2 linked regions of the Oreochromis niloticus genome follow. The protein of the gene in region 2 interacts with the protein of the main gene of each other region in a pairwise test. Links are inferred from orthologs where the notes say so. Each region holds a gene or a part of one and is shown on either strand. Other genes may lie near its edges. The genes, in order: mif4gdb and eif3g.

The links.
Region 1: the proteins of eif3g (region 2) and mif4gdb interact in binary tests that used the Homo sapiens proteins (3 or more experiments, as listed by UniProt). The link is inferred for Oreochromis niloticus from reciprocal best matches to the Homo sapiens genes EIF3G and MIF4GD.

What each region holds. Positions count from the first base shown.
Region 1 is NC_031969.2:17,395,902-17,412,102, forward strand, and holds mif4gdb (MIF4G domain-containing protein B), read right to left. Parts: upstream 5,831-16,201; 5' UTR 5,678-5,830; intron 5,103-5,677; 5' UTR 5,063-5,102; coding exon 4,984-5,062; intron 4,899-4,983; coding exon 4,789-4,898; intron 4,692-4,788; coding exon 4,536-4,691; intron 4,009-4,535; coding exon 3,916-4,008; intron 2,935-3,915; coding exon 2,707-2,934; 3' UTR 1,377-2,706; downstream 1-1,376. Other genes in the region: mrps7 (small ribosomal subunit protein uS7m), read left to right, coding at 1-57, 147-210, 303-470, 897-1,118; slc25a19 (mitochondrial thiamine pyrophosphate carrier), read left to right, coding at 7,422-7,553, 7,820-7,975, 8,075-8,245, 9,327-9,507, 9,594-9,724, 9,813-10,028; cytoplasmic phosphatidylinositol transfer protein 1, read right to left, coding at 12,518-12,828, 14,309-14,372, 14,980-15,135. UniProt on the Homo sapiens protein: Functions in replication-dependent translation of histone mRNAs which differ from other eukaryotic mRNAs in that they do not end with a poly-A tail but a stem-loop. May participate in circularizing those mRNAs specifically enhancing their translation.
Region 2 is NC_031969.2:23,962,578-23,977,943, reverse strand, and holds eif3g (eukaryotic translation initiation factor 3 subunit G), read right to left. Parts: upstream 6,406-15,366; 5' UTR 6,288-6,405; coding exon 6,265-6,287; intron 6,183-6,264; coding exon 6,136-6,182; intron 5,564-6,135; coding exon 5,475-5,563; intron 4,380-5,474; coding exon 4,320-4,379; intron 4,223-4,319; coding exon 4,118-4,222; intron 4,000-4,117; coding exon 3,804-3,999; intron 3,692-3,803; coding exon 3,581-3,691; intron 2,984-3,580; coding exon 2,847-2,983; intron 2,529-2,846; coding exon 2,422-2,528; intron 2,337-2,421; coding exon 2,321-2,336; 3' UTR 2,229-2,320; downstream 1-2,228. Other genes in the region: ppan (suppressor of SWI4 1 homolog), read right to left, coding at 7,997-8,926, 10,407-10,792, 10,867-11,024, 11,115-11,244, 11,446-11,524, 11,603-11,726, 11,846-11,953, 12,282-12,358 and 5 more. UniProt on the Homo sapiens protein: RNA-binding component of the eukaryotic translation initiation factor 3 (eIF-3) complex, which is required for several steps in the initiation of protein synthesis.

The sequences.
Region 1 (16,201 bases), about 6.6 Mb from region 2:
CATCAAGGCAGCCACCAGCGGAGTCACAAGCTCTGTTTTTGATGACCCAGTCATCAGGTAGACTCACATCTCAGCTCACAACAACAGGAAAGATGTGTGCATAGGAACGTTCATGTCAGGTGATGATTTTTGTCTTTGTTTTTCAGTAAATTCATCAACATGATGATGGAACATGGAAACAAGGTTTTGGCTAGAGAGATAATGACACAGGTAAAAAAAACAATTTAATAATAAATACCAGACATGTCAACAGCAGTCTAAATAAACGGTAAATAGATAACTACTGTTTGTCTTGTGTTTAGACGCTGGAGAACATAAAGAAGAAGCAGGTGGAGAAGTATCACAAAGCTTCTGAGGGGGAGAGGGAAGTGATCGAGTGTAACCCCTACACCATCTTCCATCAGGCTCTGGAGAACTGCAAGCCTGTCGTTGGGCTAGCCAGCATACAGAAAGGTGGAAAGTACTACCAGGTCAGTAATGACACACACCATTGCCTGCACAGAAAACTCAGAAAAATAAGATTCAATTCAGTTTTATTTATATAGAGCCAAGTCACAAGTTGCCTTGAGGCAACATAAAGACTACAATAATATAGAGAAAAGCCCAACAGTCACATGACCCTTATGAGAAAGTATTTGGTGACAGTGGGAAGGAAAACTCCCCTTTAACAGGAAGAAATCTCCAGCTGATTTGGCATCAGGGAGAGGCAGTCATCTGCCATAACTGATGAGAGGAGGGAGACAGGACAAAAGATGCTTTTCGAAAGCTTCCACACTTTAAAAATGGAACGCACAGTTTGTCTTTGTGGTTTGGTTTTTAGACACATTTGCTGATCTTATATCCGCAAAGCATAAAGGCGAGTAATTGCATTCCTCTTGGCCTCTGACCTCACCCAGGTGCCCATTCCACTCACGGACAACAGGCGGCGCTTCCTCGCAATGAAGTGGATGATCACAGAGTGCCAGGACAACAAACACCGACGCACGCACATGTATGAAAAACTCTCCCAGGAGCTGCTGGCGGCCTTTGGCAAAGAGGGCAACGTGATCAAGAAGAAGTATGAGCTGCACAAGATGGCTGAAGCCAACAGAGCCTATGCTCACTACCGCTGGTGGTAGAAAGCAGCGCAATGGCGTCGACTGAAATCTGATGACTAACAGACTGGACAGAAGTCAGGTCGGCTGCAAAGAGCTGCAGCCGCTCAAAGTGCTGAGACGTGAAAATCATATGGACTGTAAAATGCTGTCAGAGAGATGAAGCGTGTATAAAGAAGAACTGAACATGGCTTACTGTCACTTTTGTATTAAGGAAGCTGTACTGTGTACAAGTGTGTTGTATTTGCAATAATAAACGCAAAAAATACAAACTTACAAAGATTTATTAGAACAAACTTTCATTTAATGCACAACCCAATCATAAAAAAGAAAAAATGGAAAGTGTAGTAAAAAATAGATTCATGTTACAGTCAGGTCTGTGGAGTCATTAAGGGATTTGGTTAAGTCCTTCTTTGACTCATTGCAGTTTAACACACAAACTTATTTTTTTCTTGGTTTTGTTGATTTGACCCAAGAATCTGTAAGAAAAAAAAACAACAGCTGAAATTTAAATCCCTACACTAACAAAGAAAATTATTTTAGGAGACAAAATACTTCAGTGCATCTGTGAGCGGCTTTTAAGTAACTTCTTTGTTTTTATCATTGTCAGACTGCCTTAAAGTCAAATTTCAACATACATTCTACAGATCGTGGTTATGAAAACGACCACATTTGAAAGATGAAATATTTTAACAGCAGGGCACCTGTGCCTGAGGAAACTCCTGAAAGCCATGGTGGACTATCAAATGTAGTGTTGCTGGTGTAAAGAGAAGTTAAATCGTTTTGAAAAAACACTTTTTTATGAGCTTTGCAATCGTAACTGACCTGCAAAAGGAGCTCTGATAAAGGAGGAGAAAACACTCTGCCCTCAGCTTCTTAAGGTAAAAATAAACATGTCAGTCTTTATGGAGTCGTTGGTACCATGTGATGGTATTCACGTTACATTGACGCAGCTTGTTTAACAAATATTTTATATCAAGGAATCTGAGTGATGTTTCTGCAGAAAAGCGGTTTAACCAATCGCTTGGTCTGCTGTTAGTAACAAAAAATAAAATAAATCCCTGAATTAAGACTCTGCCAAACTGATCACTAACAGGAGTTTTACAGAACAAAGTAGGCAGAAACTCTTCCCACCGCAATTTAAAACCTTTTCAAAATTTAAATTTTACACTAAAATATCAAAATAATCAAATCAGGTTTCATCTGACTGGAATGTCATTTGGATTTGGTAAACAAACTAAGGTTAGAATATTCTCTCAAAACAGGAATGCTAGAATGATTAAAAATGTAAAAAAAAAAGTTGCCTCAGCTCCTCTAGCTGCATCAAACCTGAACACAAATGTCTTTGAAACAAAGACAAAGTGAACCTGAATGTGGTCAAACCTCGTTAACTCAACTTCAGCTCCGCATGACCTATTGCACATTCCACAGCACGCTTCAGGAACATTGAATCAGTCTTTTTAGAGAAATCACCATCTTCTCAAACTCCTCCTCAGATTGCCTGGAAGATATTGCTATCTATCCTCAAAAAGCTGGTTTTGTAATCAGTGGCGCTTGAGAGGTGTCCAAGGTGCTTGAAGGCTCTAGTGCTCAGCGCCCTGCTCCTTGAGTCCTAGTCAGCTATTTCACTGTAGTAGTACTTGTGAGCGGTGCTGCTGAGCATCCAACCTCCGGCCCTGAATTCCAGGATCTCCAGCAGCAGCAGGCGGGCCATGGACGTGAGGCTCTCCTGGAGCAGAAAGCCGTCCCGCAGGAGGAAGAACAGGTCATTCATCCGCTGGCTGTCCGCCTTCTCCAGCTGCTCTCCGATGCGATGCAGCTGCACCACCAGACAGTCCACCTGTGGAGAAAGGTGGAGACGCCTCAGTAAAAACGAACGTCACACTAAAGGGGAGATTATGGTTTTGCGGTAGTTAGGGTAAACTGTCGGCAGCTATGGACTGCCCAGATGTGGGCAGTATAAATATTATGTGCTACAACAGATCTGTGGACTACACTTACATGTGCTGTTATTGGTCACCACCCAGCCACAGAGAAGAGTGAAGTTGAAGCCTACAAAGAGCTGAAGTAAAACTAAAAGAGGCCATTGCCTGTGTTTCTCATACTGCATTTTTTTTTTTTTTATCTTTGATGGGGTTTTTTGTGCTTCTCTGGCCCACTTTTCAACTAATCAACACAGTGTCATCCATGTCAAACAATGTGCAGTTAGGATGCTGGAGGATGGCATGGGTGCACATTTGCAGTGGTTGAAAATCTTCTGTGTAGGCGCTTCATAGGCAAATACGCACACAAGCGTGGTAGCATAAATTAAGAACTAAAAAGTATGCCTTTGCCACGTATCTGTATTATATAGAATTTAAAATTCAACTGAAATTAAGTTAAAAGTCATGAAATAATCTCTCTTTTTATACACACATATTTGTAAACATTTGTACACAACAATGTGGAGCCAAAAACTGACTGAGGTCTTCCTCAAAATTACAACCCTTTGGCTACTTTGTAGAAAAATGGCTATTAAAGTCTTTTTAACCTTTAAAATGAAAGGTGACTCTTCTACTATGCAGAAAAAAAGTGGAAGTTCATTGGCCAAAATGCAATTATGAAAGCTTCAGCAATCAATTGAGATGATTTAGTTTTTTTATTGGCCTTTTGGGATTTATATGCATTTGTAGTCAGACAAAAACACCCCGTGGAACAGGAGGTATATCGACTGACTATACAAAACAAACCCACTCCCCCAATCAGTCCTGAAAACCACTATAGCACTTTTACACTTATATGTAAATGACTGATAAATACTTTCTCCAGATATCTTCCTCACCTCATCCTCATTCATTAGAGCGTCTGGTTTGGCCAACCTCATCAGGCAGTCGTACACAGGATGAACCAGGGCCACCATCGGCATGTTGTTCACCTAAGAAACACAGTGTGGAGTCCTTACAGCAGCTAAGTATTATCAACATAACAGAAAAGGAAACTGTGGTAAGTCCTTGACTCTGATTTCTCTTACACAAAAGCCAGGATTGAGTAGTCTTCCAATAAGGATCACTCTGTTTAAAATGCCAGTGGCTCCAAGCATGGATGAAACCTGAGTGTGTTAGGACCACACCTTTCAGGCTCATCTTTACACTGCCAATGAATAAACCCCTTACTACATGAGACATGACCTAGATTTTAGAAGCAGCATAATTAGCATCTGTTCAAATTTTAGTGGTTGTTCCTGGACACTTAAATGTGCTGCAGTGAACATATTAGGACCCCAAAAATGCAGCTATAGGAGGTGTTCATCTGCAGTGTGGACACAGAAGAAGAAAAAAAAGCAGCATGTCCTCTTAATACGGGCAATGAAAAGGTTCCACTTTTAATCGGAGTGATTTAACAAAGCTGCTTTGTGTTTCCCCTTCCTAAATGTTAAAACTCAAAACTCTCTCTGGCTCTTACTTTGAGGTAGTCGAAGATGTTGCAGATGAACGTGACATAGCACATCCACTCCTGCAGAGAGCGTGCCCTCATCTCCTCGCGTTCTTTGAACTCCTGCTGGAGTCGGTTCAACAAGTGTCTCCTGAACACGTTTCCATTGTTCTGCTTGGCTTCAGCCTGCAGAAAGTGTCAAGCAAAGTGTCAGGCAGATAACAGTGGGAGGGTGGACAAAAAGTGGGAGCCTGAATGCAATATATAGCTGGGTCTTACTGACCTGCACTATAGTGTAGCAAATACGCCCAGCCTCTTTGCTGAACACGGTGTCCTTCAAAGACTGATCCACAATGATGTTGGATACTTTCTCCAGGTTCACCAGAGATGGATCTGAAAAAGAGAGCATTATGTTTAAGTGCTTTTTTTTTTTTAACAGCGTCCAAAAATGACACACATGAAGAAGTTAAAGGCTGACCTTTCAAGGCTGTTTTTAGTAACCTCTGCGTGTCCAGGTCAAATGACTGGATCCGGTAGTCTTCAGCAGAGTTTTCCATTACAGATGCAAGTAAACAAATTACACGGGAGGGCTGTCACCTGTGGAAATCAGACAGTTACTGCAGGTGTTTTCATGCAGAATATAAGCTTTTCAAAGACAGATCAAAAGGCCACAGCCGGAGACATCCGGGCACTTTTGGTGACCACAATACATGCAAAATCCTGTACAGTCATCAAATTGGCTGGCCCCCGGCCGCAGCTCATTCACTGAGGGATGGAGGGGATTATACAACCCAGGTCAACTAAAAAGTTCACCGAACACCCAACCAAGCACGAGCCAAGTTATCTTCAACTTGTGATGTGACACACCAATGTTACTTCCATATTCCATATTCAACTAGGTAACGTTAGTTTAGTGTAAGAACACGTAAAATTTCGTCTAACGGTAGCTTTGTTTTCAACATTAACAACAACCGTTACAGCTGTAGTGGAAACCAAACGTTAATGGCTAGCATTGACGCTAACGAATCAAAGTGGAGTTTAATACCCAGCCTACACTTGCGTTATAACCGCCCGCTGAAAGGTACAAACGGGTAAATACTTTCCCGAACTGAAAGAAAACGGTGGTTAAATAATTGACCAACAAATGGAGGATAATTATGTGACAATTATACCTATTTAATGCCAATTCGTCACATCTACGCTCAGGTAGAGGTATGCTCTGGTAGGCAGCCTTTCCTCGACGCAACCCCAACCTTTCGAAGATGAAGTATCAACAGAAAGATGAGTCCCTCCTTTCTCCTTTTCCTTCGCCGCAGACCCTATGGTCTTCACCTAACCCAAAGTTAACGTAAACGAAGCCCTTATTCTTGTACTTTCGACACCTGTCTACGCTATAGATGTCTTAAATAAAAGAGGATGTGAGTTTTAAGTAGTTGCTTGCTGAATTTGACACGGTGCAGTGAGGCAGGAACTTATCTTGACGTGATATTTCGTCTTGGAGAATCTCTTCCGACCCGGCAGTAATATTAGGAGCGTGCTAGCAAGTAGTAGAAACCTGTTCCTGTTCTACTAATTTTGAACTGTACTAGTTGAGGTTCACCGTTGGAGCTGATGTGGTATTTATGAAGGTACGGTGATATTTGTCTGCTTCTGTTACCATTATTGTCAAGTTAATCCCTGCTCTGTTCTTAGTTTATCTTAGCTTAGCTTAGCTAGTTCCAAGGTCTTATTATATGTCCTCCACATGTCTGTTTTTTTTTTCTTTTTAACTTTTCTGGTCTTTATGGCATTTTATGGTTGTGTTATAATTATATAAATGGTGACCATGGAAGAAAACGAGCCATTAACAGACACCTAACAAATGTCGAATGACATGGGTGGAGCTGTAAATGTAATGTCAAGGAAACAGCTGCTGGGAAAAAGTCTTGAGCCACCCCACGTTTCGTTTCTTTATATTTTACTTCGGAGGAGGCAGACATACTTGACATTTTTTCAGTGGTGTTATCAATAATTCCTCAAGGCTTATAAAATTTTGTTTGTTTGTTGAACCACTGAACACTAGCATATGAGTCATTCAGGCATAAAAGGGCACACGAATTAAGTTATCATCCAGTGTTGCGTATCCTTAAAACATTTGAGGAAACTGGACTGGTGGGTAGCAAATGAAAGCCATGTCCTTAAGAAATAGGAAAGACCGACACAGGGCACGAGATATCCAACTGGCCCTGCAGGTGATCCATCAACTTTTCACTGAAGTCTCCTTGTAAATAGTCTCAGTGTAAGGGTGAATGTCAAGAAGCCATGCTTAAGGAAGGGAGACAAGGAGAAAAGCCATCTGTAAAACATGGTGGAGGCTTTCAGAATGACAGTGATCCCAAACATGGATGGGGAACTTCTCCTGAAAACTACTTAAAGAAATTACAAGAAAGCTTTTCTAAGAGACTTCAGGCTGTAATGTATAAGAAAGGTGGTCATACCAAACATTGACTTTCAAGCTTGTTAGAACAGTAAAAAAAAATCTACAGAAAATATACTGCATTCCCATGTATGTTAGCATGTTTCAGTAAATTGCTGCACCCATTTCTCATTTTCATTGAAAAGTATATAGAAAAGAGGAGTTATATATTACTGTGTATTATTCCAAAGTCCATCCCCCAAAACCAAACTGGAGGTTTTATAACATCTAGCATGTAGCTGCTGTTATAAATATCAAAATACTCACTTTAATACAGTTTTGAAACACCTGTTCTTAAGATTATACATACAAAACAAGCTCCTATCATCCAACATGATGCAGTTAAGATTATCTTTATCTATTTAAACTTGAATTAAAGTTTGTTTTTAACTGTGTTAAACTGAACAAAGGGTTGGTCATTTGTTTCATTAGAGTTTCTAGAAACCTAAGGCTGTAGAGACATGGTGGGCTATGACCCTGGTGTCCAGAGTGCACCTCTGTCCCCAGAGGAGGCGGCCTTCGCTGGTTCAGCTGCCGGGATGGTCACCAGAGCCCTCATCAGTCCTTTTGACGTCATTAAAATCAGATTTCAGGTACTTGTTCTGGGACAGAAGTGAGAATTCATGTTGACTTTGAAGATTACAGTGAAGTAGCAGCTATGACCTTCAGTATTTTCTTCAGTAACTGCACATTTCAATTGGTGACTGTACTAAAAGCATGTGCAAACATTTGCATTCAGTACCACACTGTTCACACAGTAAAGTGTATTTGAAATAAAAACCTTAATCTCTTCACACAACTCTTGAAGCCTGATAGATGCAGGTTGTGTTGTGTTCTTATCTGTATTTCCCCCCTGTAGCTGCAGATCGAGCGCGTGTCTTCAAAAACACCAGAGGGGAAGTACTATGGGATATTTCAGGCAACACGCCGCATTCATTCAGAGGAGGGACTGTCTGCTTTCTGGAAGGGCCACATCCCGGCACAGCTCCTCTCCATCTGCTACGGAGCTGTCCAGGTACAAAGTGTGAACTGTGAACTGCAGGCTAAGCAGAACAATTATATTACTGTAAACAATCTCAACAACACAGTTGCTTTTATTGTGTCCAATTTGCAGTTTGCGAGTTTTGAGTTTCTGACAGAGTTGGTCCATGAGAAAACGCCGTATGACAGCCAGACAGCAGGCGTTCATTTCGTCTGTGGCGGCTTGGCAGCCTGCTCTGCCACAGTGGTTTGCCAGCCTCTGGACACACTGCGGACACGCTTTGCAGCTCAGGGAGAACCCAAGGTGGGACTAATCATTGCTGATCCTGTCGCTGTCAATGTTTGACAGAATTGTGAAAAATGTAAATAAAAACAGAATGCAATGACTTGCACATCTTATAAAGTCACATTTTTTCACTAAAGAGTACAGAAAATATAGTAAGTGTTTAAGCTGAGAAATTTTAAAGAAAAATGTTAAATCATTTTAAATTTGATAACAGAAACATATTTCATAACATATTGTTTACCACTTTGTAAGAGGCTGTTCAGGCTGTAATTGTCTGGGAACTGAAGAGACCAGCTGCTGGATTTTGTATGGATGGGAGCATATGTTGTTCTAAAACCTTTACATACAAATAGATGCAGTATTTAGTTTAGCATATGTCTTGCTGAAGTATGCAGGACCTTCGCTGAAAAAGACGTTGCCTAAGTGGAAACACATATCGCTCTACAACCTGTATATATTTTTTCAGCATCAGTGGCGCAGTTGTGGCAATTCCAGAGACACTAACGCACCGCCATACCAGAGGTGCAGACTTGTGAACTGAGCTCTGATAACAACGCAGATGGTGCCTCTGCTCTTTAGTCTGCAGAATGCAGCGTCAATATTTTCCAAAAAAAGTAAACCGTTTTGATTAGTCTGTCCAGAGAACAGGTTTTCCACTTTGCCAAAATCCATTTTAAATGAGCTTTGGTTCAGAGAAGAAGGTGGCATTTACATATGACTTTATCTTTGCACGATGGAGCTCTAACCTACATTTGTGGATCATGCAATGATTTCTGGAAGTGTTCCTGAGCCCATGCACTGATTTCCATGACAGAATCATGCCGCCCGAGGACCCGAAATGATCCCGGGCATCCAGTATTGATTTTTGCTCACTTGTCTGTTGAGGACAGAGATATCCAAATGTGTTTAATTAGGCGAATGTAGAAATATTTGAGGATTTGGACACAGGTTTTTGTTTCCCACACTACCAACAGCATTGAAGGCCGTTTCAAGTCTTACAACGATGAAATATTCATAAAGCATGTTAAATATTCTCTAATTCCTGCCTTAGGCAGAATCACTCACGGTATACTGCTGAAACCCAGTTTTATATTTCCAGGTGTACAGGAACCTGCGACATGCTGTGTCTACAATGTGGCGATCAGAAGGAACTCTAACATTTTACCGTGGCCTGTCACCAACGCTCTTGGCTGTGTTTCCTTACGCTGGCCTGCAGTTCTTCTTCTACAACATCTTTAAAAAGTTGTTGGCTCCACGACCCAAAGCTGGGAACTCGGGAGGTGAGTGGAAACTCTTAATTGTGCAGCGTTTACACATGCACAGGGTTGAGTTTAAAATCCTGTCACTTTTTATGTTCATGTTCAAGGAAACTTAAAAAGTCTGGTCTGTGGGAGTGGAGCTGGAATGATCAGCAAAACAATCACGTACCCCTTCGATCTGTTCAAGAAGAGACTGCAGGTGGGGGGCTTTGAAGCAGCCAGAGCTCACTTTGGACAGGTAAGCTCCTCAACAGCATGTTTCATCATATTTGATTAAGCGCTCTGGGTTTGATGGTGAAGCATTGTCTTCTGTCTGTTCTGTGCAGGTGCGGAGCTACAGAGGTCTGCTCGACTGCATGGTTCAAATAGCCAAAGAGGAGGGCTTCCGAGGATTCTTCAAAGGCCTGTCCCCCAGTCTCGTAAAAGCTGCGCTTTCAACGGGCTTCACCTTTTTTTGGTATGAATTTTTCCTCAACGCCATGCATAACTTCAAGGAGAAACGGGGAACAAATGTCATCACCAAAGACTTTAACAAAAGATGATGAAGGGGGCGGGGAAGCAACACACAAAATCACGCACATTGGAAACTAACTTATGCCTTGTTATTTTCTTGCACTGAAAAAATGTGTCAACTGGGTCAATATCATCATTTGTTTCTGTTGTGTTTACATATCAGGACAGAAAAATTACTGCATTATGTTTGTTTTTGTGATGTCATTTGAGCGTGTGTCGTAAAAGAGCTGGATTTTTTTTTTTTTTTTAAAAACATGAATTTAATGTGGGATTTCAAGGTTTGTGGATACTTGCTTAAAAAAGTTTGTGGATACTTGTTAGCATTGAATGTTCAAACTGAACTTTACACACTTTGAGCATTTTGTGTCATTTTACACAAACTGTTTGACTTCATTAAGTTGCAAGAAGAGAATACAACAAAATTTTGCTTTAGCTTTGGGATTGTGTGTTGGTTTTGTGCACAGACAAAAAAAAGCACTTAATATTTATTGCATTATATACTATGGAGGACAAAACAGCACTGGGTATGGGAGGGACTGCTAACTGAGAGTTCAGTTAGTTTGTTGTGTTACGTTAAACTGTTAAAGCAGTTGTGTCGATGTGTCTGCTGAACACTATGATGTTATTATTTTTTCAATAAAGTTTTGATTAAGGAATTGTGTTTGCGTGTGTGATGTGTAGACCAGGATGAACACAGTGTTCACTAGAGGTGTGCGTATGAATCGTACGCCTTTTGACACCTTTAAAGATTAAAAAAACCCCAAAAAACAGTTTATGTATTGAAGTTTGGTACATGGTCATGGTTCATCACATGCCCCCTAAATGATGAAAAATGAATAAGTGAGGACAAAGAGCTCACACCTGGGTTTATATATTTAAAATAAATAAAATAACTGAATGTGAGCATGTTGGATGCATACTCCCTGCATAAATGCACACATACTGCTTACTCTCTTACAATTCCTCCATCTAAAGCATAAGTACACAGCGCAGTAGTTGCACCTCCTTAATATCTGCTTATCCTCTACAGGGAAAATAACAAAGAGTTCATTAGCTGTGACAACATCCTCATTTAGGTTTGACAGTGTTTCTAGCAGATATTGCTTTGGTGGGAAAGGCCTCAGAGGCGATTGCCTGTACTAATGAGAAGTGTATGAATTGAAAAAGGTAGCAAAGGTTGAGCATGTAGACAGATCAGAAAGCGGTGTGTATGCAGGTGGGGCCTTGCTCCTGAAATTCAGATAAATTATCTGCAGTATGATAAGAAGGGGAACTCAGTTTCAACTTCATCTATATACAATTTCATGTAATATGTTGAGATATTTATATATTGGAGCTATTTTGCGATATATTGTCTTATTTAATACTGCTAATTCAACTTGTTAGTTACTGTTCTTACTGTCTTGGAGCATATCTGGCCACAAAATTTCCTCTGAGATCAATAAAGTATTCTGATTCTAATTCTAATTTATACAGCATGACTTGGTTTCCAAAGTTGCATTTGAATGAGCCACACGACTGTCTTTCCATTCAGATAGATCACATTAACAAACTCTTCACACAGTAACAGATGCAGCAGAATTTACTTTAATGTACTGAATACAAAACCCATCAATAGTATGACAGTAAATGAACACAATAAAACCACAATGAAGTCAATACAGCAGCAAAACAACACCACATTACCAAGTCTGTAAAAACTCCTGTAAAACACGACATCACATATGAGGCTCAGATAAGGAAAACATTCAGTTCACAAATATTTAAGGGCAGCCCCGGTAGTCAAGAATCATGCTGTTTCATGAAGACCTCATGGCTGCTGAGACACATTACAGTCAGAGCAGCTTCATCACTTGATATGATATTCTTTTTGAATTAGTCACATTTATATTTTTCATACAGTATATACAAGAATACACAATCACCTTACATCTGACTGTGAAAACCATAATACTCGACTGTTACAGTGGCCAACAAGAGTCCCAACTACATAATTCAGTTACCAAATAAATGAACAAAGCCAGAGATGTTTAAAGATAAAGCAGATAACAAATGTTAAGTTTATGTGCACTGAGTCTCTAGATATCTTTTCACCAACACACCCTGAGCTTGGATGAAAACAAGGTGACACTCTGTGGGATAAAACGATTTCAGGAATGTATGCTACACTCAGTCAGGCTAATTGGACTCCATACTGATTAATGAAAGGTGCAGACTGGCTGTTTTCTAAGGAGAAGTAAAGGATGAGGAGCCTGCAGGTGCTTTTGTTGGACTCTCGCTGGGATTTACTACACCTTTACACTTGGCGGGCCTTGCTGTGGATGCCTAGCTGTACCTGTAAAGGCAGTCTGAGAGCTGTTGGCTTTGCTGGAACGCCGGCGAGTCGGCTGAGGGGCTGGGATCACCGGGACAGTCACTTCTTCTTCAGATGGCTGAGGGAACATTGCAGGATGTGCTGGGTAGGCATCCTCCACTAATACGCAGGTCAGGGGTGTTTAACAGCGGCTTAGCCCCGCTCTCATTCTGGTTGCGGACTGGAGTTCCAGGAGAAAAAGCTTGGAAGCTTGAAGAGTGAATCCCTGCGGCCTGGATCAGGCAGGGTCAAGGTCTCTGGAGCTGATTTCTTCCGGGGTCGCTCTTTGGGCACTGACAGGAAATCAGGGGCTTCGGTGGAGAGGGGAGTGGACGGGGCGCTGTTGGGTCCGCTGCGGGTGCTAGATGGCAGGGGGTTCTCTGAGATGGAAATGGTAGGGGGGAAAGTGCCAATCTTCAGGTTGGTGGCTTCCTGTGTGGCACGCTCGTACTCTCTTACTTCATCCATGGTCATGTCTGTTGGGTTGGAGCAGTGACATATAAGAGAGACAAGGAATCTTTAGAATTGTTTTTATTAGATTTGAATGCAGTTTTTATGTGATATAAGCACAGTGATCTGCAATTCTAATAAACCCATACTTTATTAACAATAAAACATAGAAAGCACACCAAATATTTAAATAGATGTGTTTCACAACAGAGCTTAGTAGTAGTAGAAGTGGGGTGCTGAACTGGCCTGCCTGCGGTTCAGACCTTTCACCTCTTAAAACCATTTGGCCCATCATGAAATATGAAATGGAGCTAAGAAGACCCAGGACTGTTGAGAAGCTAGAAAATCAAGCAGCTCGTATCCTTAAGTTCCCAGATGTTCATGGTTAAAAAAGAGAGGATGCTACACAGCAGTAAACAGGGCCCTGTCCCAACTGTTTTGAGACGTGTTGCTGCCATCAGATTCAAAATGAGCTAATGTTTTTCTTACTTTGGTACATTTGATATGGTTTCTGTGTTCTACAGTGAATAAAATACGAGTTTAAGATTTACAAGTGATTGCGTTCTTTGTATTTTCAGTGTACACAGCATCTCGAGTTTTTTTGGAAATGGGACTTTGCAGATTTATTTAATGTGGTGAGGCTGCAAATGCGGAAATATTAGTGGAGTTGCACACAGGTTTCTCAAGGTCTTACAACTAACTGCTTCAAGGGAAAGACGTGTCAGGAGAAAACTGTACTCTCAGTTTCCCGTTCTTAGCTGACAGTAGTCACAGCTGTGGTCTTTTGCTGTTGTTCATCTGCTCTACGGTTTGACATGTTGCACAGTCAGAGATGCTGTTCTTCTTACTTTAACTATAAAGAGAAATTGAGTTAATGCTGTCTTCCTATAAAAACTGTCTGGGCACTCTCTTCTAACCTCTGATATTAACAAGATGAAAAATCCAAGTTTCCAAAATATAGTTTCTAAAATACCCAAACCAGCTGCACTTCTGTAGGAGGAGGTAGGATGTGGCATAACCAATTAGCAGAGGTGACACTACAGCTAATTGGAGTCACCCATCTAGTGTGTGGAACATAACAGGCCATTCAGGAAGTCTTTTCTCTGTTTTCGGTGGTGGAGATTCTAGTATTTATCCTATTTAGAATTATTATCAGGTATCTGTTCCTGTGCACGGTACCCATGCATACACCCTGCTAAAAAGAGCTTGCTAGCATTTAGTTGATAACTTAGCACGCTATGCTCATGTCCAAATATGACAAATATATCCAAATATTTCAAACTCCAAAAACACCAGATGGAGATGGTCACAATGCTAAAAGTTGATGAAATTAATAAACAAATTGATAATATCATGCTAGCTATGTCCATCCTTTGCATACAGTCTTTGATCTCCACCTTAAAATGGAATAATTTATGTGAAGTGGGTGCATTCGTGAGATAAGTCAGTGCCTGGACATGAAAATAACCCAAGTTTTCTAAAGACTGTCATCTCCTGCGCACTTACCAATCCACTCATCCACCCAGGCAAAGGCCTGCCTGTGTCCTAAAAGCAGCACGTCTCGGATCACCTGAGGAAGATTACAAAAAATAAAAAGAGAGAAAAGGGAAGCAAAGGAGGCAAGATCACAGGAAAATGAATTCATACAGGGACAGAGGCAGGGAGGAAGTTCAAGGAGAGAAACTGTAAATCAGACTGCATTCACTCTAAAGGATACCGAGAGTTTCACTTCATTTCTCACTTCAAAAATTTTCTGTTCACCCCTAGAGGATTATGATTTATGTGGGACACTCCTGGTGTTAGCCTGTGAGTAATGAACCTGCCTCCAATTTGTGTGTGTGTGTGTGTGTGTGTGTGTGGGCGCCTTGGGCAAGGATAGTGCAGGGACAGCTGACCCGAGGGACAGATGCTGTAGCAAAATGGATTTGGGAAATGAGAGATACAAAGTTTAAACTCTGCAGCCAAGTAAAAGGGAGGTGGTGCTGCAAGGCAGGCTGTGGGATGTGAACAGGGCAGATATTGTGGAAGGTGATAATGGAACTGCTGATTTGGCTCACAGCCGTGTATCACATGTTTTCAGAGCAGAAAATGGGACGCCTCTGGCTCAGACGATGATATAAGCAGGCTGAAACTCATCCACAACGTGTCTCTTGCCCCCAAAAATGGTTTGTCCTGACCTTGTGTACAAACTGCTCCACACGGGTTTGCAGGCCCCAGACTTCAAATTTGACAGTGACCAGTTTGTAGGAGCACATGATGGGGTCCTGGGTGTCGAGCCATCCTTCCTGCAGAAGCCCCCGATTCGTCTTCTTTGACTTAAAATACCGAAGGTCCTACAAGGCCACAAGACACCAGCTTCAGAAAAACAACTCATTTTCCCCCAGGAGTTAAATAAAAAACAATCTTATGTCGATAATCCTCAAAAAATTTACATAAGATGATACGGAAAATTTGTTGAACTGTTTTCCAACCAATACTTAAAATTAAAACTATACTTCCTGCCATCTAATCTCTCTCACACACATCAATTTCCTCCTCTTTGCCTACAGGACAGGATCATCTGCTTTTATTTATGAGGCTAATGCAGGGTGTAGCTAAGAAGCACAGTGGGAGTCTCAGAAACTTTACACGCATTAATCACTGCTCCCAGTGGACTAATTATGCTGTGATGCTCATTTGTCTTAGAGTCATGCATCCGAGTGTGACAGAGTGTCTCTATCCCTGCTGGGAAAGTACTTGTAGAGGAGGTGGAAGACGTCTGTTATATTTGTCTGCGTATAAAATGTTTCATCAAGTGTATTGAGAGACGGAAAGATGAGAAATGCTAATGAGAGATTAATCGCTTTTAAGCACATTTTTTAATAAGCAAATATCTCTCCAAAAGATATTTTACTTCACTTACTTTTCCTCCTGGTTTTGCTGAACAAGTTTCGTTAACTGTAGATTGTATTTCAAGAAGGTCTAAAAAGTGAAGCCAAAGTCAAAGTGCTTTAAATATGATTTCTTTCTGGTGACCAGCAGGGAGCAAATCCTCTGGCTGCAAGCAGTTTGATTCTATATACTGCATCATATATGCTGCATCCAGTCAAATCACCAGCAAGTGTGAGGATCTCTATGAAAACAGAGGTTTTTGGCAGTTTGCAGGTCTGGAGCATTGCCACAGTCCTCCCAGGAGCGGACGATGCAGCAAACTCACCCAAGGCCAGACTGTGCCATGCTCATACAAACGGCAAAAAACTCAAAAGCATTTGTCAGTTTATGGTCTCAAATGTTATTTTAATACCTTCTTTCATACATCATGAGGTTTATTTTGTAAATTATGTTCATACTTGGAGTAAAACAGATTATAAAACAGACGTGACTAAGTTGTGACTGTGAACAGCACCTCCAGGCTTTAAT
Region 2 (15,366 bases):
TTATGTGAATTACCGTGATGGTGATCAGTGTACAGAAGTGTTACAGGTCACTGTTTATAGTAAGTAGCCTTAACTTTATCTGAGCATGCCATTGTTAGTATTCACTGAATAACATGAAAATAACATCAATTAATTTTTATCCCTTTTTGTTACAGAAATGCCAGACAGTGTGTCTTTGAAGAATTTAAGTACAGTGAAAGAAGGCCAACAGTTTGCCATACAGTGTGACGTTGTTAATGTTGCACCAGCAAGACATCTCTCTGTGCTTTGGCACAAAGGAAATTATATCATGAAATCTGAGACATTTAATGACTCCAGTCCATCTAACGTCAGTAAGTCATCTGTCCTCACTCTGACTGCTCATAGAGATGATGATGGAGCTGAGATCTGGTGTGAAGCAAAGCTGAACTTGTGGCCAGAGGAACAAGGTCCTCCTCCAGTGCGTTCAGAGGCGCATACTCTGACTGTACTCTGTGAGTTTTTAACATGATCTTAATGCGACCAACAAAATATTTCTTATTGTATTTTCATCTTTTAGAAGTTTTTCTGTGTGCAATTTGATTTCACATATGTCCTCAGACCCATCAACCGTATAAGCGCTACAAATGAGACACTGGACCTTCCAGCTGGTAAAAACATGACTTTAAGTTGCAATGCTACAGGAAACCCTGTGCCATCATACCACTGGCAATTCTCACAAGCAGCACAAGAGACGTACAAGAATCAAAATGTGAATCATTCTGTTTTGACTCGACCATTTAAGTTTCCAGGAATCTATACCTGCTATGCCTCAAACACACAGGGCACTGTGACCAAATACTTCAGTCAGCGAATCTCCATCTAACCCCTTATCAGTTAACTCGTTACATTTCTTATCTTTTTATACTTTCTTGATTTTAATTTTGTTTGCTGCATTTCAAAGTCACACAAAGGGACTGTATGTAAGTTTTTTTTAAAAAGATTAATTTAATTGTCACAAGATTTATTGTATTTTCAATTTTTTTTCTCTCTGTCTGTATTTTGATTTCACATATGTCCTCAGACCCACCAGCCTTCATCGATCCTTTAAATGAGACACTTGAACTTTCAGCTGGTGAAAAAATGACTTTAAATTGCAATGCTACAGGAAACCCTGTGCCATCATACCACTGGCAATTCCCAGAAGCAACACAAGAGACGTACAAGAATCAAGATGTGAATCATCCTATTGTGACTCGACCATTTGAGTTTCCAGGGGTCTATACCTGCACCGCCTCAAACACCCAGGGCACTGTGACCAAATACTTCACAGTCAACAAACCTCCAGGTAAGTTCTCATCAGTTAATTCACTACATTTCCCATCTTGTTATATTTTATCATCTATGAACTTTTTTTTCTTTAGGTATTGGTTCTGGGACCATTGTTGGGATTGTGATCACTGTACTTGCTGTTATTGGTATTTTGGGAGTGATTTATTACAAATATAAAAGCTGAGAGAGAATGTATTTTCAAAGCCAAAAAATTTGCTCTGTGCCAAGTTTGAATCCTCAAAGTTTCACAGCTACATTCTTAAATGTATTAAAAACATGAGCACTAGTAAAGCTCAAATAGCATGTTTTGTTTTAGCAATTTGAATCCATACATTTTTTGATTAAGTTTTTATGGAAACATGATTATTGTTATCAACTATGATGTCTGTAGTTTTTCCTTCTTTCAATGTTTTAGTGTTTTGCTTTTTTGACACCATTATAATTAGACAATAAAGTCTCTCTTTTCAAATATAGGCTTCATTTGTCGAGACCACAGAGATTCACCGTGTAGTATTAGTACTGTACATTATCAGTATTAGTATGTCCTCACTAATGCACACTAGTTTTCAGGTATGATCTCCTGAAAACAAGATTAGTAACTTTTTGCAGCATTGCTCACTTGCCACATGTTGTCTTTTCTCAATTTATTTTGGATCTGAAATCCAGTTTTACAAGTGTGCACACATTAAATCAAAAATAAAGTTGATAATAAGTGTCATGATGGTCATTATCTCTGTCCAGTCTTTAGGTCTTGTAAAGCCAGCTAACACTTTTGCCAGTTATGATTTTGTGATGAACTTCTTTCCTCTTTTCTATTTACGTCTCCAAATCAAGAAAATCAATGTATGTAGTGTTTGTCAAATGTCGAAGACGTAAAGGTTTAAATCAGGATAAAAGCCTAGACAGAAAATGCATTAAAGAAAAGAAATAATGACAAAGACATTTACAACTACTCTCTTTATTATGGTAACAGCCATATTTTACCATGACAATAAAATATGGAATCTTCCTGGGATTTACACTGAATTCCTCAGTTGTTTGACGGTCTGCAAAGAGAGTGAAATTTAGTCAGCAACAAGATTACACAACATTATGATAAGTACATTGACAAAACTGACAGACTGAACTCACTTGGCCCATTCAACATTGAGAATAAGATGATCATATCCAAATCCTGACACTCCCGCAATGGCTCTTGCTGCATCCTCCCGACGGTGGAAACTGATAAAGGCAAATCCCTGTTGGAAACAGGATGAGATTACTGAACCATGCTCAGTTTCAGTTCAATGTCAACAGTTTAAAAAAAAGGAGAACAAAACACACCCAAACTCAGCAGCTGATACTTAAAAAAATAATACAAAAACGACAACAATAAAGCCAACCACTCAATTTTCACTTTCACCGGAACACTTGACGGACAACATGTTTGTGTATTTTCTTACAAACAGAAAACTAAACACTGTAGTCAATTTACCAGCTACACCGTCTTGGAAAGAGGTTTGTTAAGAAATTGTTGCTGACACTTTATTAAATCAAATGCTCGCTTTATAACTGACCTTCGACTGTCCCGTGTTCTTGTCCTTGGCCAAATAGATCCTTGAGATTGAGCCAAATGGTCTGAAGAGCTCCTGCAGGTCTGTCTCACGGGTGTCCTCAGACAGGTTGGTGACACGAATGGTAGCATTGTCATCAGCTGTCAAAAACAAACATAGTGTTTCTATTGAACAATACTTGAGGCTGTGCAGGCATTATCAAAGACACTACCATTACATCATCCACTGGTTTCTAAAGATCTGTTTTGAAGCCTTGAAGTTTAGCATTTCCACTGTTGCCACCTCGGTTGCAAAAACTGGACGCAATTAGGGAGGCTGGGTGTGACTGTAACAGTGCAAGGTCAGTGTAATGTCTTGTGACTGACAACTCATTAGTCATCGAGCATGCAATTTCATCTTCCTTTTTGAAACATAGCATTACCAAAACTTGCAAAAAAGTTAAAAAAAAAAAAATAATAATAATAATAATTTATTCAGTATGACTGAAAATAAGTGAGAGCCCATAATCTAAGAAAGCCTTTCCCTCTAAACTTCTATAGGACTGGAAGTCTTTTTGAAACCCTGCATTTCTATCGCCATCTGGTGGCAACACAATAGAAAGCCACCAGATGGCTGCGTTGCTGCACTGGCTTCATTTTTCTGATCTGGAAGTTACATCCATGTTTTATAACGCCTATGGCAATTTCTCAAAGAGTAACGGGTATGTATAGTATAAGCAGACAACAATGTGCACCCACCTCTGCGGTTAGGCTGCATGGACTCCCCTCTTCTGGTGCCTCCATCCCTCAGGCTCGGAGGAACATACTTCCCGGTCTTGCTCTGTGCAGGCTGTGCAGGCTCTGGCTCCGCTGGTGAGAGGAATAGCATGCAACATTAGTCATGATAACTTTAGGAACACCAAACTGCAACAGAACATCTGACAGCAAAGATTTGACTCTATGAATGGTATGTTCATGATACCTGAACCAGCAGCCTTCTCTTTGTCTCCAGTAGAAAGCCCGAGCTGTTCAGCCAGCTCCTTCTGCATTGGGCCCAGGGTGTCCTTGTACGGACAGCGTGTAGTCCAGTGATCACCTTTGCAAATACGACAAGACACGATCTTCTGTCCTTTCAGTTTGTTCATCGGATCTTCATCCTGGTCTTGAGCGTTTAAGTCCTACAAAATGAAAAAGATATATCAAATAAAAAGGCAAAGCTACACCATAGTTAACTTTTTTCTTTTTTAATTAGAACACCATACAAAAGCAACAATGCAAAAAAAGCAAGACTCGCACCTCTTTGCTGGAGATGAAAGTCATGAAGACATCATCGCTGACGGTAGTGGTGGCAACATTAGGGCCTGGTGCATCATACTCGGAGTTACCAAATTTCTTCCAGTTCTGAAATGAGTGCAGGATAATGTTTGACACTGAGTTTACCATTTTGTTCATGGATAAAGTGGAAAAAGGTTTACTTTTATTTAATTTAAAGACAGACCTTTCTTCTGGCAACAGCTTTTGAGGCTTTCCTTGTCTCAATCTTAAAGGTTCGCACAATCTAGAGGACAAACAAACAAACAAAATTAACAGCAAGTAAATCGATATTAATATTAAATAATAATATTACAAACAAGTCTCTTTTTATACACCAAGTGAAAATATTTATGAAGGTTATGTTAAAAGGACTGGTTCTCATTTAGCAGTCATCTACTCTACTCAGGCTTTATGCAACATGTCTCATTCACCAATTAACACGAGCATTTTTTTCTACTTTGCTTTCTATCTAACATTAACACTTCAATGAAAGCATCAGGTTCAGTGTCTTGCCCAAGCATAGTTTGGCATGCAGACTGGAGCAGCAAGGAACCGAACAACCAACCTTCCAGTTAGTAGATGACCTACTTTACCGCAGCCACCCTGAACTAATGCACCTCTAATAAAATGTATACAAATCTTGAAAAATGCAGTCAGTGTTACTCAAAGATTTCAGATGAAACTATGACCTCTAGAGGGCATCTGGTATCAATAAAAGAAATATTAATTTTCAAAGAATGAAATAACCTGATATACAAACCAATTAATGACTACACCTGTAGCTTTGCTGTATAACGTGTCAATTGAGAAGTTTGTAAATTTAGAAAGAAAAAACAAGAATGGGTTTTAACATATATTACTCATAGCTTATGAAGTTCTAATGCTTAAAATAAATTGTACAACCCATCATGTACCACAGGGTTTCAGAGGTGGAGACACCACAGACTAAAGCCTGATAACCTTACACAATCGATGATAAACCTTATCACACTCAGTTACAGAACTGCAGTTATATCAGTAACCACCGTATTTCCTGCACTTTTTTGTGCAGCCATTTTTCATGCTCCTCCAGAGCCCTGTTTTAGACTGCAATTACTACATGGGAGACATGCATGCTTAGCAAAGGATCACTGAGTGGGAGAAAAAACTACTTGTCCTACAGCACTAGAGACAGTATCTATATCACCTTAACAAAAGTAATGCAATCACTGCATCCATTCTTATAACTCTATTGGTCTACAAATGCAATGATAGATGCATTTTTCACAGTTTAAATATAATCAAGATAAGACTTTGTATAATGAGTCTTATAAAAACGACATAATAAACGTTTTATTACCTTGTACTTCTTTCCATCATCGTCTATTTTATATTCCGTGACAGTTTTAATATTTCCTTTGATGGTCTCCTTGGGGGATGGCAGTGTGCCTGTGAAGAAAACATTCAGTTTAGTCCTTGAAACTGCTAGAAAAACGATCGTTTTTCATGCCTTGTTTCTGAAGAGCTTCGTTTCCCTCGTATTCAATCAAATTCTCAATGAAAGCACCATGAAGGCTCATCTTTTGATCAAATATCCAGTTCTGAATTGGATTTCACACCCAGGTGCTCTTATTTGCGATAAGACACTTATTAACTTTTAATTACCTGTGGCGCTGAAATCCTACTTCTAACACAGCTGTGGTGCTAGCGCAGCCTGCTAGCTGCTAGCTGCACTCATGTTAGTACCGAGAGACCCTGCCTACGTCACTGTTACAGGCCTCAGCATATGTCGGTAACTCTTTTCATCAATAAATCGTCCATCCATGTCAGTCACACAAATATATCACTCCAGCTTTTACATAATTAGACACCCCACATGTCTCAGGTAAACGCATTTTTAACTCTACGTTTACGCCTAACAACCACGTGGAAGTGGAAACCGCCTAGCCGGCCTCCTTCTTGAATCACTGGACTACAGCAGATGTGTTAGCATTAGCTAAAGCTCATAATAGGCTCTTTACCTTCATCTCCTTCCTCTTCAACTTGATCAGCCCAGCTGGGCTTGGAGCTGAAAGACAGATACGAAAATGCAACGTTATTTTGAGCTCAATAAAGACTTCACAGTATGAAATGAAACAAACAGAACTTACTCGTCGTATTCAATCGACGGCATCCTCACTGCTAGCTTCCCTTTAGGACCGGAGCAGTATGAGTCGAGCGGCGTCGCTACTGTAGGCACTTCCTACCCACTTCACAATAAAAGTATAGTGTAATCCTTTTTTTTTTTTGGCTTCAAAATAAGAGTGCAGAACTTCTTGTCCAAAACCAAACCAAATTAAAAATCGGGGTTGATAATAATCTGGAAAACTTTACGCAAATGTAATTTAGGTTTAAATCAGAAAGCAATATCTGAGATCTGAGGGGTTAAAAAAAACAAACAAACAAAGACACTAACATGCAATTTACATGAACATGAAATTTAATTTAAAAGGTTTTTTAAGGGCAACAATAACAAGGATCTTTATTTTTCAATTCAAACAACTACATTTTTAAAGGGGCCTCTACTACACAAAACCAGATTAGTGAAAATTAAATAATATTCTGGATTCTTTCAAACCTTCCTCACATGTTTGATAGTAGAAAAGAAGCACTCTCAAGAGCAAATGTTGGGGCATTAGAAAACGTTTATTTCTAGCATATTTTGCAAAGCACTGTTGGTTTGCATTCAAGTCAAGGAACATAATGTATTTCTGGAATTTGCACCTTTACAAATCCTTTGGACAGAGGTTGCACCACTGCAGCCTGTCTCACTCAAGTGGTAGACGTCTGTAATTGTGCTAAGTGGTTGTAAGGGTCTTGGGGTCTATCACTGTTTCCAAAACGTGTCATTGAGAAGAGGATGATGGTCGGTCAGCTTTAGATGCTGGTATGTTGACTTGATTTAACATGTGGTCAATTGTAGTAAAGCATTTTAAAAAAGGTTGGTTTCTTGTCCAATTTGGTGCAGTCTCTCCTGCAGACAACCAAAAAGTCTGAGATGCATAGGTCAAAAATAAATGTCAGATCTGCTCAAGGGCCAGATGCATCTCTCAGGTCCTGTGTCAGGACTGATCATTTGCCATACACAGCTTGATTTTTTCAGACCCATCACTTCTTCTTTTGTTCTGCACTTGTTCAGTTTCCTCAGATTTTTTGAAGGACACACTGCACTTGAGTAATATCTCGTTAGGAATATATGTTGTTGATGCAAAAAATATTTTATTTACCTTTGGCAATTTTTATAGATTCAACTAAAGTAATTTGAATAAGTTAAAATATTTTTCTGAGAAGCTCCTAGTAACAAAAATTAAAAGATACATTTAAAAATTGGTTCTTTGCTATGTTGTCTGTTATGCGTAGACAACACTGGTTCATCTTTTGGGATAGAGGACTTTTTTAATGCTTGAATGATGCATATGTCAGTATAAAATGGTTAAACAAACAAACACACAAACAAAATGTTTTTCAGGTGATGTGATCAGATGCAAGGACTGGACTGAAAATATTTGTGAAAAAACACAAAGACCTGTACGAAGAAACCATAGAGAACTATTGCTCAGGAGCACTTAAAAATATAAGAAAAGCTGGCTCCTTGGAAGCAAAATAACAAATTCAGTATAATTTTTATTGCTAAACTAGGCCAACAGGAAATAAAAGAAAGATAATGAAAGTTTTTTAGATGCACGACAAAGCAAAAAGTTTTTAATACAGAAACTGTTTGAAAAGTCATAATGCAGACTATTAACACTTCGAAATAAGATAGCTACAAGAAAGCCGAGCAAGTGCTATATGCATTGCATGGGTTAGACTGTAGACAAAAACCACAAAAAGAGCAGCAGCTCATCACCCACCGATGTTGTCTTCTGGGCTTTTTCCACAACACGCTACTCTCATACTGTCAAACACAGCCATGTAAAGGACCGGATGGATACACATGTTTACAGTTGCCAGTCCCTTTGACGCTTGGTACATATCATAGATCCAACAGACAGTGTTGTCTGGATGCAACAATCTTAGATACAAGTGATAAATCTGAAAGAAATGATAAGGCATGAAAGAAATGGCATACAGCACAAGCACTGATGCGACTAACAGGGCGACTTTACGTTTCTCAAGAGGGGTTATGCTGACATTCTTCCAAACTACCCAAATCACCACACAGTAAGAAGTGAAAGTAACCAGGAAGGGAACCAGACACCCAAACACAGAGAGAAAAAACTTGTAAACGTAGTGAGGGCGTTCAGTCTCGTTGCAGAAGGACACACACTGAATTTTGTCATTAGTAGCATTAGAGCAAACAGAGGCAAATTTCAACACCGGACTGGAAATGACTCCAACGATGACCCATATGATTATACTGGTGACCTTGGCGTGGCCAGGCGTTATATAGGAGCGGGTGAAAAATGGACAAGCGAGGGCCACGCATCGATTCACGCTTATCGCCATGATGAAGAAGATGCTCACATATAAGTTGCATGTGAAAAGAAACTTTTCCAACTTGCACACAGCGTCGCCGAACATCCAGTGCTTGTCCTTCGAGTAGTAGACGATCAACAAAGGCAGGGTGAGGACGTACAGCAGGTCGCTGATGGCCAAGTTGCATGACAGAACAACACCGGTGTGCCAGTTTCTTCTTTCTTTGACTACCAGCAGCCACAGGGCGAACATATTTCCAGCCAGAGCCACGACAAACTCAACCCCATACACCACAGGCAGGGCGCCTGTTTGAAACTTCTCACATTCAGAGAAGTTAGACGGCATGCTTTTAATTTGCTTTTAGGTACACTGTTAGAACTGTCCAAGCCCTGCAAATCAAAGCATATTGATGCATTAAATTTCATTATCTAATAAAACAACAATTATTAGGGCAGAAATTTATATTTTTGTAGAAAAGGAAGTTATTGAAGCTATTTATAGAAACTGCTTTTCACTATCTAAAAGTTTAAAAGCGTTACAGCTAAAACAGAGATTATATTTAGTAATGAATTCTTTTTTTCTCTTACCGCAAGGGTGACGAATAGTGCCTTATGACTTGAAAGTTAATTCCTGTGTGATAGGTAGGAAAAATGTGAAACGCTTCTCAAGTACCATTCTTATCTCTGTCAATGATAGAAGTGAGCGAGAAGCGGAACGCACGCATGACCATAGAGGCAACTTCCTCATACCCTTTGTCTTTATTTCACAACTTGAAGAAGGAAAAGCGCTACACCAATGTCAAGCATCTGTAATAATTAGTCACAGGACAGATTAGGCATGTTGTAGCAAAGCTGTGTGGGCATCCATATTTGTTCTTTTGAAAAATTCTTTCCCTTCATCTGCCATTAGTCTAATTTTGGGAGGATCTTTTTTTTTTTTTTTTTTATAAATTATAACAAATGTAGTCTATTCCATATCACATACAGTAAAAACAAAAAGTCAATTGCTGACCAGGAATTTTAAAAAACGAGCCAACATTGTACTTTTGAGGTGCTGGGCCAACATGCACTGCAGGAGCTGCTTTGATTATTATTACAAGTTTGGCTATGACTGTCAATACACCACTTCCCTTTTTCTTATCTTCAATGCAGCTCTGAATTTCACGTCAATATCTTGCGATATCAAATGTTCAGAACTGTAAATTTAAGCTTAGAAAATGTGTCATAGCAGTTATTAAATATAGTAAAAAGGACTATTAAAGGTCAGTTTATTTTTATGATCGTTAAACATTTGAATCTTATCATTTGTCATACTTTATTTTCAGAAAGATCAACATGTTTTCCTTTCAAGAACGTGTCAAAAACAATAGGTGACATTTGATTTTTTTCTTTAAAAGTCTTAATATTTCACTTCATTTTAAACTGGTATCAAAATGAGCTCATGTAATGCAGTTATTTTTAATTTAGCTTTCCCTCATCTATAACAGTGTTTCCATGTCAACACGCTAGGACAGCAGCTCAGGAAGAGATACCAAGAGTTGCTGACTGCTTTCTTCCAGCTTTGTAACCCTTTACAGTTACTTGAAAAACAAAAGATCAATTAAAAAGAGACAAACTGAGAGTCAGTTTATTTACAGAACAAATACAGTTTGAAATTCAAAGATCTTTGCATGACAGAAAGAGGTCGGTTTTCTGGTGACAAATATAAACGCTAACAGGAAACTCTCACAGGCATCACTTGCAGATAAAGCATTCGCCAGTTAAATAACTTTTCCATGTTTCCTGTTGGAAACAGAAAATTTCTCCAAGTCCAGTTTAAAGGGAAGTACTGAAGGTCAGCCTTTTCCCTTCCTCTGTTTGAAGCCTTGCTTTCTTCCTCCTGCACTCTTATTAAAGCCCATCTTGCCTTTCTGACTTTTAGACTTGAATGGTCTGTCCCCATTTCTCTTCTTTTTCCCACCAAATTTATCCTGCTCTCCAGCTCTCTTTGCTCCAAAAGCCTTTCCTGTTGGCTTCATTTTCTTCCCAAATGATTTTTCCCCATCCCTGGATTTCTTCCATCCTCCTTTCTGTTGTTTTTTCCCTGTTTGGTTTCTATGCTGTCCTCCTGGTGATTTGGAACCTCTGTCTTTTAAAGACTGACCAGGGGACAACTTCCTCTTCTTGGCAGGTCCATGAGATTTTTCTGAACTCCTCCTCTTCTTCTTTCCACTTGGAAACATGCCTACATGGAAAACATCTGTTAATACTTAAAAAGACCCCAGTGAACTAAGAGAGTTAAGTAAATTAGCAAGTCACCTTCTTCTGGCTCCTCTCCTACGGCCTGTCTGTAGTACTCTGCCTCATCATCAGACTCGGCATCAGCTTCCTGACCGTCCTGAGCTCCTGGATCCTCCACCTCACTGTCCTCTTCAGCTTCGGCACGTTTCTTCTTAATGCCTTCCAGGCTCTTTTTCCTGTGAAAATCAAGGAGACACCGTTCCTTCTAAACCGCATAAAAAAATGGATACAAAACAAAAGGTCAAAACATTTGAAAGCCAAATCACCTGTGCTCTTCTTTTTTCTCTGTCTTCTGAGCGATGTTCTGCTCCTGCTTTTTCCGGCGTTCCTCCTTCTCTTTTATCTTTGCCTCCTTCCTCTTCAGGATCTCCTGGATTTCTTCTTCCGTCTTGGAGACTACAAGGATTGTACAAATAATTCCTGGTTAAGAACAGATTTTGCCACCTCCCAAACGATAAATAAAATTCTGAAAGTTCAGGGTGTATCAGTAAGCGTTTACTTTTTTTAAAGAGAGAAATCATAGAATTCATACTGTTTTTTTCATCATGTACACCCCTGCACATGCTAAGGAATAAATTAGGAAAAGGCTGCGCTTACTCATGGAGTGATATATGACGTTCCCCTCGCCCATCCCTTCTTGAATCTTCATTAACCGCAGAGTCATGCGAGGACCAATCTGAGAACAGCACAATGCAATTTTCAGCACCACTCAAACACTATTTAGGAAAAAAAAATCAACTGTGTGCATACGCACTTCGGTCAAGCGGACGGCACTCTGCTGGGACGCCATGTTGCCTCTTCCAGAGTAGACCTGTGGAAGTTCAGTAACGTTGTGCTCCTCATCTTGCTCAGCTTCACTTTCTGAGAGGTTTGCCCCCCTGAGAACGGTTACGAAGAACATTTTCATTAGACAAAACTCCAGCTCACCAACAGCTACAAATCCGAGCCCCTTTTTATCCTGGAGGATACAGCAATTGTACCTTCAAAAGAACCTTACTTCATCAGCAGCTCACTGATATCCTCAAACTTGTTCATATTGGGGAACCTCTCCTGCATCAGCTTTTTGACTCCACGGCTCACTCCCACAGGGACAACCTTCAGGCTGCTGCAGGGTGGGAACAACATATTGGTCAATTTCAATGTGTAATCAGTAAACAGACTAACAAAAAAATGCTTTTATCCTGTGGGGGCTCATCAGTGCGTTTACTTTGGACATAGATCACTGAACAGTCAAGTCAAGGTCTGTCATCATCTGAGCCCAAATTTCACAGGATTGTTGTTGAACGTAAGTTTAAGTAACTGGAACTAGTTTTGTGTACATTTCTAAACAGCGCGTCATCTGTGATGTGCGTGCAGATGTATAGATTCAAAGCGTTGTGACCTGATGCTTACAAGCAACTTAAAATGATAAAGAATAGCCAGTTTTTACTTACTAATGTCGAAATTCAATTTCCTCGGACTCGGAATTGTAGCTTAACAGGACACACCTCTTGATGGTGTTGAGGCTTATCTAAAACACAAGAAACAGAACAAAACATTTCTCTTCAGTGGCAGTCAGGTTTAGTCTCTCAGAACGCTGAATGGATCAACAGAGAGATCAGAAAGCGTTTACTTTTGATAAATCTTCACATAAACTCAGAAGACTATACTTTCATCATATCAGTGAGGTTGTAAACCTCGAGTCACCCAAGGAAAAAAATATTGCAGCAGCTTTAGTGGTAAAACACACCTTGTGCACATTTATGGAAGGAAACATGTTTTGGAACATGGTGGCCATGAGTTTGATATGCATGCCATCTTGTCCAAAGTTATTGAGGATGAGCAGCGGATGATATTTGAACTGCTCCTCGTGCATCCTGTGCTTCTTCAGAGATGAAACGACATCTTTGATAAGACAGTACTGAAAAACAAACAAAAAAAACAACAACTTTGTAAAAGTAGGAAAAAGACAATCAAGAAAGAAATCGCAACTTTGGTACTTTGGGCACATCAGTGCGTTTACTTTGAAAAACATCATTTATTAATCACATTTTAAAATGTCATCATCTGAACCCATGACTCATTTGATTTAGTTTTATTTGGTATGCACAGTTTAAATTATTTACCTTGGTGACCTGGAAATGAAGCATGGGACCTTTGGGAAGACGAGCAACTTTCTGTGAGAAGAAGAATGTTTGATTTGATTAACAGAGGCACGGATTTCACATACAGTTGCAAATGCATTTGTTTACAGTTGAATATAAGGATTCTCAACTTGATGTGACAGGAAGTCAGGTGCTTTTTAATATAAACAATATAAAATGTACAAATTTAAAAGGTCTGTATCTAATATTTCGATATTTTCAAATGACTTAACTACTTTAGCTCTGACACCAAGCACATTTAGAGGTAAATTATAGGCCTCAGTCAATCAATCAATACTCTAAGGTCATCTTACCATGTTGATACTGGTGGGTGTTTTGCTGAAGATGTTGAAGTGCGTCACTCCCAGTGGTCCTGCTATGGCAACAAAGTCTTTGAGCACATTCTTCTTCCTAACCTGTTGTTTGGTTTTTTTTGTAAAAAAAGTAAAACGATTTCACGCACAGTCCGCAGAAATAAAATATGAATAAATCAATACAAAAGTTGCCTAAAGAACTCAAAGAAGGGACCTTGAGAGAGACTGCGGTGTAGGGTTCCATGACTTTCCGGATATCGATGATGAGCTGACCCACGTTTTTTCCAACCTGGCCCCGGTGGAACACCAAAGTGTGGGGCACAGCCAAGTAAGTCTGCTCAGCCTCATGGTTGGCCTGTAATCGGGATTTCTTCTGATTCCGGGTCTGTTGAGGGTGATAAACACATATTAGTAAAGGGACCAATGATTTTCGGACTGTTGCTGGTCTCACGTTAGCTTTAAGTTTGGTGAAAAGACTGCTAACGTGAAAGGGTCTCACGACACAACTAGCTTTACTAACTACACACATTTTCATACTCATCGCTAACTACAACTCGCCAACAAGGTTTCCATTTAATAAAAGTAACAGTTTGGTTTTTAGCAAACTAACAATGATTAAATACCCTCTTTAATAGCAGCATTTCAATCCACATCGGCTAACCTTTTAGCACAGGCCGGTACTTACCTTTGATTTCCCCATAATTCAGCTCGAAACAGAGCTCACAAATGTAATGGGGAAAAAAAACACACTCACAAAAACTATCGCTATACTATACTTAAGCTACCAAGAACGATCGTGCTCATTTTTGACGATATTAATCAACAGTGAGTCCAAACTTAAGTCAACGTGACGCCACCCACATGGCTCTACTGCTTTTCCAGTGTGTGTCACAGGCTAATACGTCCGTATTTCTCGTTTCTTCGATAGTTCCTAGCCGCTACTTTGTTTTTTTAAAAATTGCAGTTCCTCATAGTAACCGCTGGATGGCCGTACACAGCTGAGACGGCTGCATCTCTTTGAAAGCTGGTAATCGCCCCCCCCCCCTCCCTTTCTATGGTAACACCAATACTGATACATATTCTAATAAAGTTCAGTTCAATATACTCAATAAACAAGAACACAGTATTATGGAAAAGTCTTGAGCCATAATGGTAATTTGCATCTTGCAATTTGCAAGGTCTCAAACTCAAACACACACACACACACACACACACACACACACACACACACACACACACAAGGAAAACAATTGTATTCATTATATTCATTCTATAGGCAAACATTGGCTTATTTGAAGTTCAACAGTTTAATGATACAATTTTTGATAGGAAACCAATAAATGTAGCATCATGACGTTAATGAGAGTGTAAAGTCTTTGTCTCTCTGACATAAGAAAAAAAAGTGTTTATTTGTTTTGGCAGTATAGAGAAAACCAAAATGAAAAAAAGTGTGATCAGAGCTTGGGTGTGACCCAGTGCAATACTGTAAGCTGATGCGAAAGCAGAAATAGAGACAGCTCTTTAGGTGTGGTTTCTGAAGTTCACACTTTGACCTCAGCACTGTGTGTGACTGTGACTATCTTTACTGTTTTTCAGTATTGCTGATTTTCCCATAAAGCTGATGCGGTAGCAAAGAACTATCTCAGAGCCACTGCTGCATGTAATAGGCAACTCAGACCATCACAACTTATTATTATTATAACAAAGTGCATAATCTGCTGCAATTAACCCACTAGACTGAGTGATGCTGGAGGACCAATATTTTTTTTTTTTAAAGAGCTGATGTGAAGCTTTACTTTTCACAGAATGTGATGGAACCCAGAACCCAAACAAGCACCTGCAGCAGTATAAAGAGCTGTAATGGCATTTAAAGCAGTAAAACAGCAAAGTAGACTAATCCACTTTTAATTTGAGAGTCACCGTCTTGGCAACAAAACAGACTCACTGAATAAGCATGGTTACATACAGGACACAACCTTAACATACAGGATACAACCTTTTTTGAAGCGCCACTGCAGCCACAAAGAAGACTGAAGTACAGGTGCAGCCTTTATTCTAGTCTTTGTGGCATAAACGGCCAA